Linked DNA regions of Rattus norvegicus. The main gene of each other region encodes a partner of the protein of the gene in region 2 in a complex. Links are inferred from orthologs where the notes say so. Each region holds a gene or a part of one and is shown on either strand. Other genes may lie near its edges.

The links. Proteins that work in one complex are often made in the same cells at the same time.
Region 1: the proteins of Bcar1 (region 2) and Sh2d3c are in contact, whole or in part, in a crystal structure (PDB 3T6G), measured with the Homo sapiens proteins. The link is inferred for Rattus norvegicus from reciprocal best matches to the Homo sapiens genes BCAR1 and SH2D3C. Residues at the interface, in NP_055382.2 of Homo sapiens: Ser739, Gln742, Phe746, Tyr747, Gln750, Asn754, Val779, Ser782, Lys783, Ile786, Leu787, His790, Val793, Phe794, Ile795, Asp797, Thr798, Arg801, Gln802, Ser816, Asn817, Cys820, Leu823, Arg824, Val827, Lys831; in NP_733745.1 of Homo sapiens: Thr543, Val544, Pro545, Val547, Gly616, Val617, Arg618, Glu622, Thr625, Leu626, Pro627, His628, Leu749, Leu752, Leu753, His771, Gly772, Val773, Glu774, Val776, Leu777, Leu780, Glu781, Ala783, Arg784, Ala787, His788.

The regions. Positions count from the first base shown.
Region 1 is NC_086021.1:36,435,706-36,439,351, reverse strand, and holds part of Sh2d3c (SH2 domain-containing protein 3C), read right to left. Parts: intron 3,582-3,646; coding exon 3,457-3,581; intron 1,156-3,456; coding exon 626-1,155; intron 1-625. UniProt on the Homo sapiens protein: Acts as an adapter protein that mediates cell signaling pathways involved in cellular functions such as cell adhesion and migration, tissue organization, and the regulation of the immune response.
Region 2 is NC_086037.1:56,620,619-56,624,364, forward strand, and holds the start of Bcar1 (breast cancer anti-estrogen resistance protein 1), read right to left. Parts: upstream 2,573-3,746; 5' UTR 2,453-2,572; coding exon 2,441-2,452; intron 1-2,440. UniProt on the Homo sapiens protein: Docking protein which plays a central coordinating role for tyrosine kinase-based signaling related to cell adhesion. Implicated in induction of cell migration and cell branching. Involved in the BCAR3-mediated inhibition of TGFB signaling.

The sequences.
Region 1 (3,646 bases), on a different chromosome or scaffold from region 2:
TCAGCAACTACATGGTGGTCCACAACTGCCTATAACTCTAGTCCTGGCATACGTGCTGGCGAAACACCAGTGCACATCAAAAATGAAATGAGAAGGAGGAGGAGACTGGCAAGGGGTGGTGGCTCATGCCTTCAATCCCAGCACTTGGGAGGCAGAGACAGGAAGCTCTCTATGAGTTCAAGGCCAGCCTGGTCTACATAGCAGCCAGCCTCATCTACACAGCTAGTTCCAGCCCAGCCAAGGCTACATAGTGAGACCCTAACAAAACAATCTAAAATAAGAAAATGGAGGGCTGGAAGGATGGCTCAGTGGTTAAGAACACTGACTGCTCTTCCAGAGGTCCTGGGTTCAATTCCCAGCAAACACATGGTGGCTCAGAACCATCTGTAATGGGATCTGATACCCTCTTCTGGTGTGTCTGTCTGAAGACAGCGACAGTGCACTCACATACATAAAATAAATAAATCTGAAAAAGGGGCCTGAGACACCTGGGATGTCAAAACTCAGGCTGCTGGCGTCATTGTACTTGGGGAATTTTGAAATCAGCCCGTCACCATCTTGACTCCTGACCTCAAAGCCAGATGTTAAAGGTATTGTCCCCTCCCTAAGCATTCCTAACACGTACCAGGCAGTCAACCTTGGTGACATGCCGGGCCAGCGTCCGGGCATCCACCTCCGACAGCAGCTCCTTGACTTTGCGCAGCAGGCCCACCTCCAGAGGCCGGTTCTCCTTGGGGATCAGCTGGGACTGGAAGGTAGCCAGGTTGAAAGATGAGGTGGCTTCTGCTACAGGGGCTGTGAAGGTCTTGCCCCACTCCCCCTCAGGGACTCCATTTTCTGACAGTTCCTTTTGCCTCTCTGCAGAGCTCCGAGCCTTCCGGGGGGTCTCTCCTGCTGTCGGCTCTCGGCTACAGCGCACAGGAGGCTGGAGCTGACAATAGTGGCCAGAGTCTGGGTCACTGTAGCTGCTGAGTGACGGTGATGGCGAGGCCTTGCAGAGGGTGTGGGACGGGCTTGCGTGAGGGCCCCTGTCTGACTCCCCAGGAGGCTTTGGAGCACCTCCAGGACATAGCTGAGGTTCACTGGAGCGGCGGGCAACTGGGGAGGCGGGCTGTGCTGTACAGGGGGCAGCAGAAGCAGCATGGACGCGGGTTACTATGGAGGGGAGAGAGAGAGACGACTCGTTATCTCAACTACCCTTTAAAATGGAGCCTCCCAGGATGAAGAGATACCTCAGTGGTGAAGAGCACTGACTGCTCTTCCTGAGGTTCTGAGTTCAATTCCCAGCAACCGCTTGGTGGCTCATGACCATCAGTAATGAGATCTGGTGCCCTCTTTTGGCCCACAGGCATACATGCAGGCAGGATGCTATGTACATGATAAATAAGTAATTTTAAATGATTTTAAAAATCAATTGTCCCTGTTTCCTCAAAGAACAGTCTGCATCCGATGTACAGGGTGATGTCCCCACATCCCAGAATGTGGAGGGAGATGCTCTGTGGTACTCAGCATTTCCCTGGACCAGCAGAGCCCCTGCCCCAAGAGGCTACAACATAGGAAGCCACAGCAGCGGTCCAGGGAAGCTAAGCCCTGCTGAAGCCTATTGCGCCTGGTGAAGCTGTCACCAAGTGAATTAGCAGTAATGATACACTCGGTGGGTGGGGCGTGCCCAGAGCTGGTGACACGCTGGAGAGTTATTGTCAACAGCAAAGCCATCAATGAGAAGAGCCTGACATGGTGGCCCACGTCTGCAATCACAGCACAGGGAGTCTGAGGTAGAAGGATAGCCTTGAGGTGGAGACTAGTGAGAGCTACAAGCCAGCTTGAGGTACTTAGACCCTGTCTCCAAAGGCAGGAGGGGAGGGAAGTGCTAGATGGCTCACTGGATAAAGGCATTTGCCACCAAGTCTAACAACCTTGGTTAGATCCCTGGAACCCACACTGTGGAACTCGGGGAAGTTGTCATTTGACCCCTAGACTGGTGCGGTGATCCATTCCTGTCCCCCCAGACCCTACACACAAATAAGTAAAGGAATGTAAAAGATCTCAGAAGCCAAACAGCCAAGAGCGTGCAGTGGTGGATACCTGTAACCCTAGCGCTCAGGAGGCTGGGATGACCAGGTCTCTGTAGATTCGAGGCTAGCCTGATCTACATAACAAGTTCTGGGTCAGCCAGAGCTACATAGTGAGACCTTCTCTCGAAAGCAAACAAGCAATACCCCAAATGTCCCGTTCTATGGCAGTAAGGACTTTCATGTCCTCAGGCTTGAGCTGAGAAAATGACGGCTCAGAGCTTAGAAGACTTGCCCAGGTCACTCAACTTGGTAGGGCTGGGACTAAAGCTTTCATCTCCTAGCTCTGACAGACACCTCACTGCTGGAGACTGTCCCATTAAAAACTTAAAAAGCAGCCCATGAGCTGGGTGTGGTGGTGGACACGTTTAATTCCAGCCCTCAGAAGGCAGAGGCGGCTACTTAGTGAGTGCCAGGCCAGCCAAGGCTACATAGTGAGTCTCTGTCTCAAAAACACAATAGGTAATCAAAAGTCTTCACGTGGACATGCTGGTTTGAAAGCAAGTGAATGTGACAGCAAGGCTGGTCCTCAGGGAGGACTCCTGAGGACACACAGTAACACTCTAGAGGCACGGAATGCTCCCCGCAGGCCCAGACTTCCAGGAGACCACCTCTCTCAATGCTCCTACTGCCTTGTGGGGCAAGAAATGTTGCTTAACAGTTGGGGTTTGTTTTGCTTTGTTTTGAGAAATAAACTGGGGACATATTTTTACTTTATTTGTATTTATAAGCACAGGGCGCTGTGATTTCAATTTTGTTATAAACCTTAAACTGCTCTAAAAGGTAATTAAAAAAAAGATGGGCTGGAGAGATGGCTCAGCAGTTAAGAGCACTGACTGCTCTTCCAGAGGTCCTGAGTTCAATTCCCAGCAACCACATGGTGGCTCACAACCATCTGTAATGAGATCCGACGCCCTCTTCTGGTATGTCTGGAGACAGCTACAGTGTACTCATATATAAAATAAATCAATCAATCTTAAAAAAATAAAATAAAAAGAGCAGCAAAGCACATTAGCCTGAGCTAGCCTGGTCTAAGCTCACTAGGGATGCACTTGTTACCAGGGTCCTTGGTGAGGCAGCTGTAGTGGGAACTTTGTCTGCTGGGGCCAAGCACGGTGCACATCACAGCCTCAGGGCCTGATCCCATGACATGCTGCACCCCCAGCAGACTTATCCTGCCGTTCACACTGAGAACCCATTTTGTGTCCATTGCCTGGCACCTGTGGGAACGCTATCAACCTGACGCTGCTTGTGTGCCAACACCAGCGACTCCACCACAGGCTTTTCTAGTACATTTCTGAGGACACTGCTCCCAGCACAGAGGCAAGACAGACAGGTAAGGGTTCCCCACAAAGACATTACAGATTGTCCCCTGCTAGCTTACCGGTGCTATAGGCAGGGGAGCTGGGACTCTCGGAGATAGGAGACAGCGGAGAGTGTAGATCTGGGATCTGGTCCATGCTGAGGGCGCAGTTTCGGATGGAGTCTCGAGGATGGGGTAGTGAGGTGCTGTGGGCAGGGATTCCATGAGCCCAGAGGTCAGAGATCAGGGAACTTGGCTCACTGTATGAACC
Region 2 (3,746 bases):
AAGAAAGGGCACGGTAGAGGCTAGATGGGCTACCCAGTTTCACAGGAGAGAAGCCATAGCAGAGCCATGCTGCAGTGGGGCTGCTCTGCACAGGCCTTGCCCTTCACCGTACCGTGGCAGGGCAGCCAACCTCTCGTTACTTGTGGACATGGGTCCGAGATGGCAGCAGTCATTTTCAAGTGCGAACTCCAAGTTAGGCCAACACTTGGAGGAGGCAGAAGCAGATGGCTTTCAGTATGAGTTCAAGGTAAGCCTGGTCTACAGAGTAAATTCCAGGGTATTCAGGGCTATACAATGAGATCTTATCTCAAACACCAAAACAAAACCCTGTCCAGGCCCTGCTTGGATACCCAGGAAATCACATCAACTCAACCTATTTCATCCCAAGTTCTCTCTGCAGTGGTCTCCCACTGCCGCCTGTTAGCATCTTGTAATTTCTGTGGGCCAAAGTGCTTGCGTCAGCTCTATACAGGGAAAGACTGCCCAAATGAATGGGTGTGCTTAAAACTCAAACGTGTCCCTAAGTACCACATGGCCAGTCACCATTCTGGGCTCCCTGGGCAGGCAGATCTTTCTAGAAGTCCACCCGGGCTCCCAGCATATGAAAGCTTCAGAAATGACCTCTCCATAGCCCCACCACCTTGCACACTACTTAGGGCCCAGGATAGAGGACAATGGCCTGACAGTCTAGTCTAGCTACACACTGTGCAGAATTACTGAGGGCTGTGGCTACAAGCGAACGGGAGAGAAGTGACTTGGAGTGGATCGTGGTAGGGACAGACCTTCACTTTAGTTCTTCACAGTGATTCTCACCTGTACAAACCCCTTATCCTCTCCAGTTATAGATGGTACCACCGTGGCACACAGCAGAGGGCGACTACCTGAAATCTCGTGAGATAAGGGTCTGCGTGCCGTCTAAGACACATGTCCCATACAGAGCTCTATACCTAGGCTAGACTACTAAACCAATCCTGGACCTCCCGACCAGAGGCCTGTCCAGAGGGGTACTCCATGGTCATTACAGCCTTGGGGACCCTGGCCCTCCAGCACACTCAGCAGGTCTGTCTTGTTTTCCTGGCCAATGTCCACAGAGGCGGAGTTGGTCGGTGCCCTATGCCCCAAGCTGGAGAAAACCCTGAGCTTTGCAGAACAGCAGAGCAGAACAGCAGAGAGGTTTGGCAGGCTTTCTCCGTCTCTTCCTAGAGATGAGACAATTATGCTTTGAACCAGAAGAGATGGGGGTGGGGGCTCCCATCAGCGCGGCCTGGAAGCCCTAATTTTTTCATCTGTAACTCAGTATTACCGCTTCTGGGGGCGGGCAGGAGCTGAGATCTTTAATTCTGTAATAACAATGCTTTGCCCTGACAGAACCCTCTCCTCTCCAGCAATCTCCATACTCTATGGTGCTTAATTAAGAAGCCACTTGCCCCGCCAACTAACGGCATCACGGAGAGAACCCAGTCTCCGGAGTCGATCCAGAGCAGAATAAGGGCAGGCTAGGCAAGGCTCTGGCCCATTGCCCCTTCCTGTCATTGGGGAAAAGGCCTGAGTCAGCAGAGAAATGGTGGCTGCAGGCCATGACTCCGGGGCAGACAGGATGAAGGTGTGGCCTCACACCTCTGTGTGTCCATCTGTAAAGTGGGTTGGAGCCTGTGCCTGAGTCCACCCCCCTGGTAGAATAATCACTGGCCACCTCAGGAGGAGACCCAAGGTCCTAGTGTTAAGGACTGGACCAAGGGCTTCTCGAGTGTGTCTGGTGGATTGGGAAGACAGAAGACGAGATGTCAAGCAAAGGGGGAAGCCCCTACAGAAAGCAGCTGCTAATCAAAAGGCCCTGTAGTTCAATGGGCCAACAAAACTTCCCACAAAGTGAATGTACAAACCAGAGGTAGGGGGAGGTACGCTATTTCCATTAGCCTGCCAAGCCAACCATTCTGGGGTAAGGGTGTCTCCGGGGACAGAACAGACCCCGCCCCACGCCTGGCCATCCGGGTAGGGACCAGAGAGCACAATAGGGCAGCCCTCCCAGGGAGTTTTCTGGGGGAACCGCACAGACCTTCCCACCACTCGGCCCAGCTGACCTGGCCATGGGTTTCTAAGAAGTGACAGAGCCCTCTTTTCGGTAGGCCTGACCACTCTGGTAGGAGGTCGGGGAAAGGCACGGACCCCGCCGAGCCCACCAGTCCCAGAGGCTCTCAGGAGCACCCCTAAAGCCCCCTGCCCAACCCAGCCGTGCCCCGGAGCTCCCGGTGGGGCCAGTGCGGCTCCCCGTCCTACTCGGCTGTCCTGGAGGAGGCTGGAAAAGCCGTGTCAGAGATGCCGGTTATGGGGCGGTGCCCCCACCCTGACCCCCACCTCGGCTTGAAAAGAACCTCCGGCGACCCCCGGTGGCCCAGGCCTACGGCGGGGGGGAGCAGGGTCTCAGGCGGTCAGCACTCACCGGCACGGTCATCTTGGCCACCGCTCCCGGGGCCCTGCGGCAGCGGCGCGGGCTAGCTCGGGCTCGGTGGGCCCGCGCCGCTCACAGCCCCCGGCGCGGGGTCCCGGCGCTCTCCGCTGCCCGCGGGTTGCTTTCAGCCACCGGACTGTCCGGCCGCTCCCCCCGCGCCGCGCATGCGCTGCCCGCGCCGCCCCTCCCCCTCCCGCCTGCTGCGCCGCCGGCCGCGTTAAAGGCGAGGACCCGGGACCCCGGCATTTTTCTGTCGGCACAACTGGGTGAGAAGGCTGAGTTCCCACACCTTGCCTGTCCTTCCAAAGGCCACCTCCAGACTCACTATTAGACAATCCCATCCGGTCCGCCCACCCGGTTCTGAGACTAGAACCCCCACCCCCACACATCACGTCCCTCAGTGCGGGTCCCAAGACGCCTACAATCCTAGTTTGGGAGCAGATTAGTCTGGCTGAAGGCGATCTTAGATCAGCCTAGGAAGCAGCCTGACTTAACATTGGATACCCCTGAAAGTAAAATCTACAGTGGCTTTTTTTTTTTAAAGGGTTTTTTTTTTTAATTTTCTAGAAGATTTATTCATTTATATACAAGTACACTGTAGCTGTCTTCAGACACACCAGAAGAGGGCATCAGATCCCACCACAGACGGCCGTGAGCCACCACGTGGCTGCCGGGACCTGAACTCAGGACCTCTGGAAGAGCGGTCAGTGCTCCCAACCAGTGAGCCATCCCTCCAGCCCTCTACAGTGGCTTTTAGGGAGGGTCCCACAATGGGCCCCCCTGCCCAAGGCTGGAAGACAGACAGGCCTTCGGGGACCTGAACCTTCCTTTCCTCCTTGTTAATCACCCCTAATTTCTTCAGCTGTTTCACACTTGGTACAATGCCCAAACATGCACCTGCAAGCACAAGGCACACGGGCTTCCGACTGCCACACCTTGCTGCTTTCACCTTCCCTCTCAGTACACTGAGGCTCGGAGCTCCACTGGCTACCAAAGGCATAAGGCCCCGCGGTCTGCTCTGCTTGCTGCCCAACACATTCAGCCTGTCACTGCTCCATGGGACCTCTTCCTGAGCAAGGCCAGACCCAGATAGTTAATGGCTGCCATGCCCTGAGTAGGAGAGTGCATTCTTACATCAAGTGGGAACTGGACTCTATGGCTTTGTCTACTGCTTCCTAAGGGAGCCCCATGAGAGGATCACAAGAGGACCACGAGAGGGCAAGAGCTTCAGCTAGCTAGCATATAGTACCTGGGGACAAAGCTGCTTCGGCGGCCGCTGCTGCTGCTTCCACCTCTT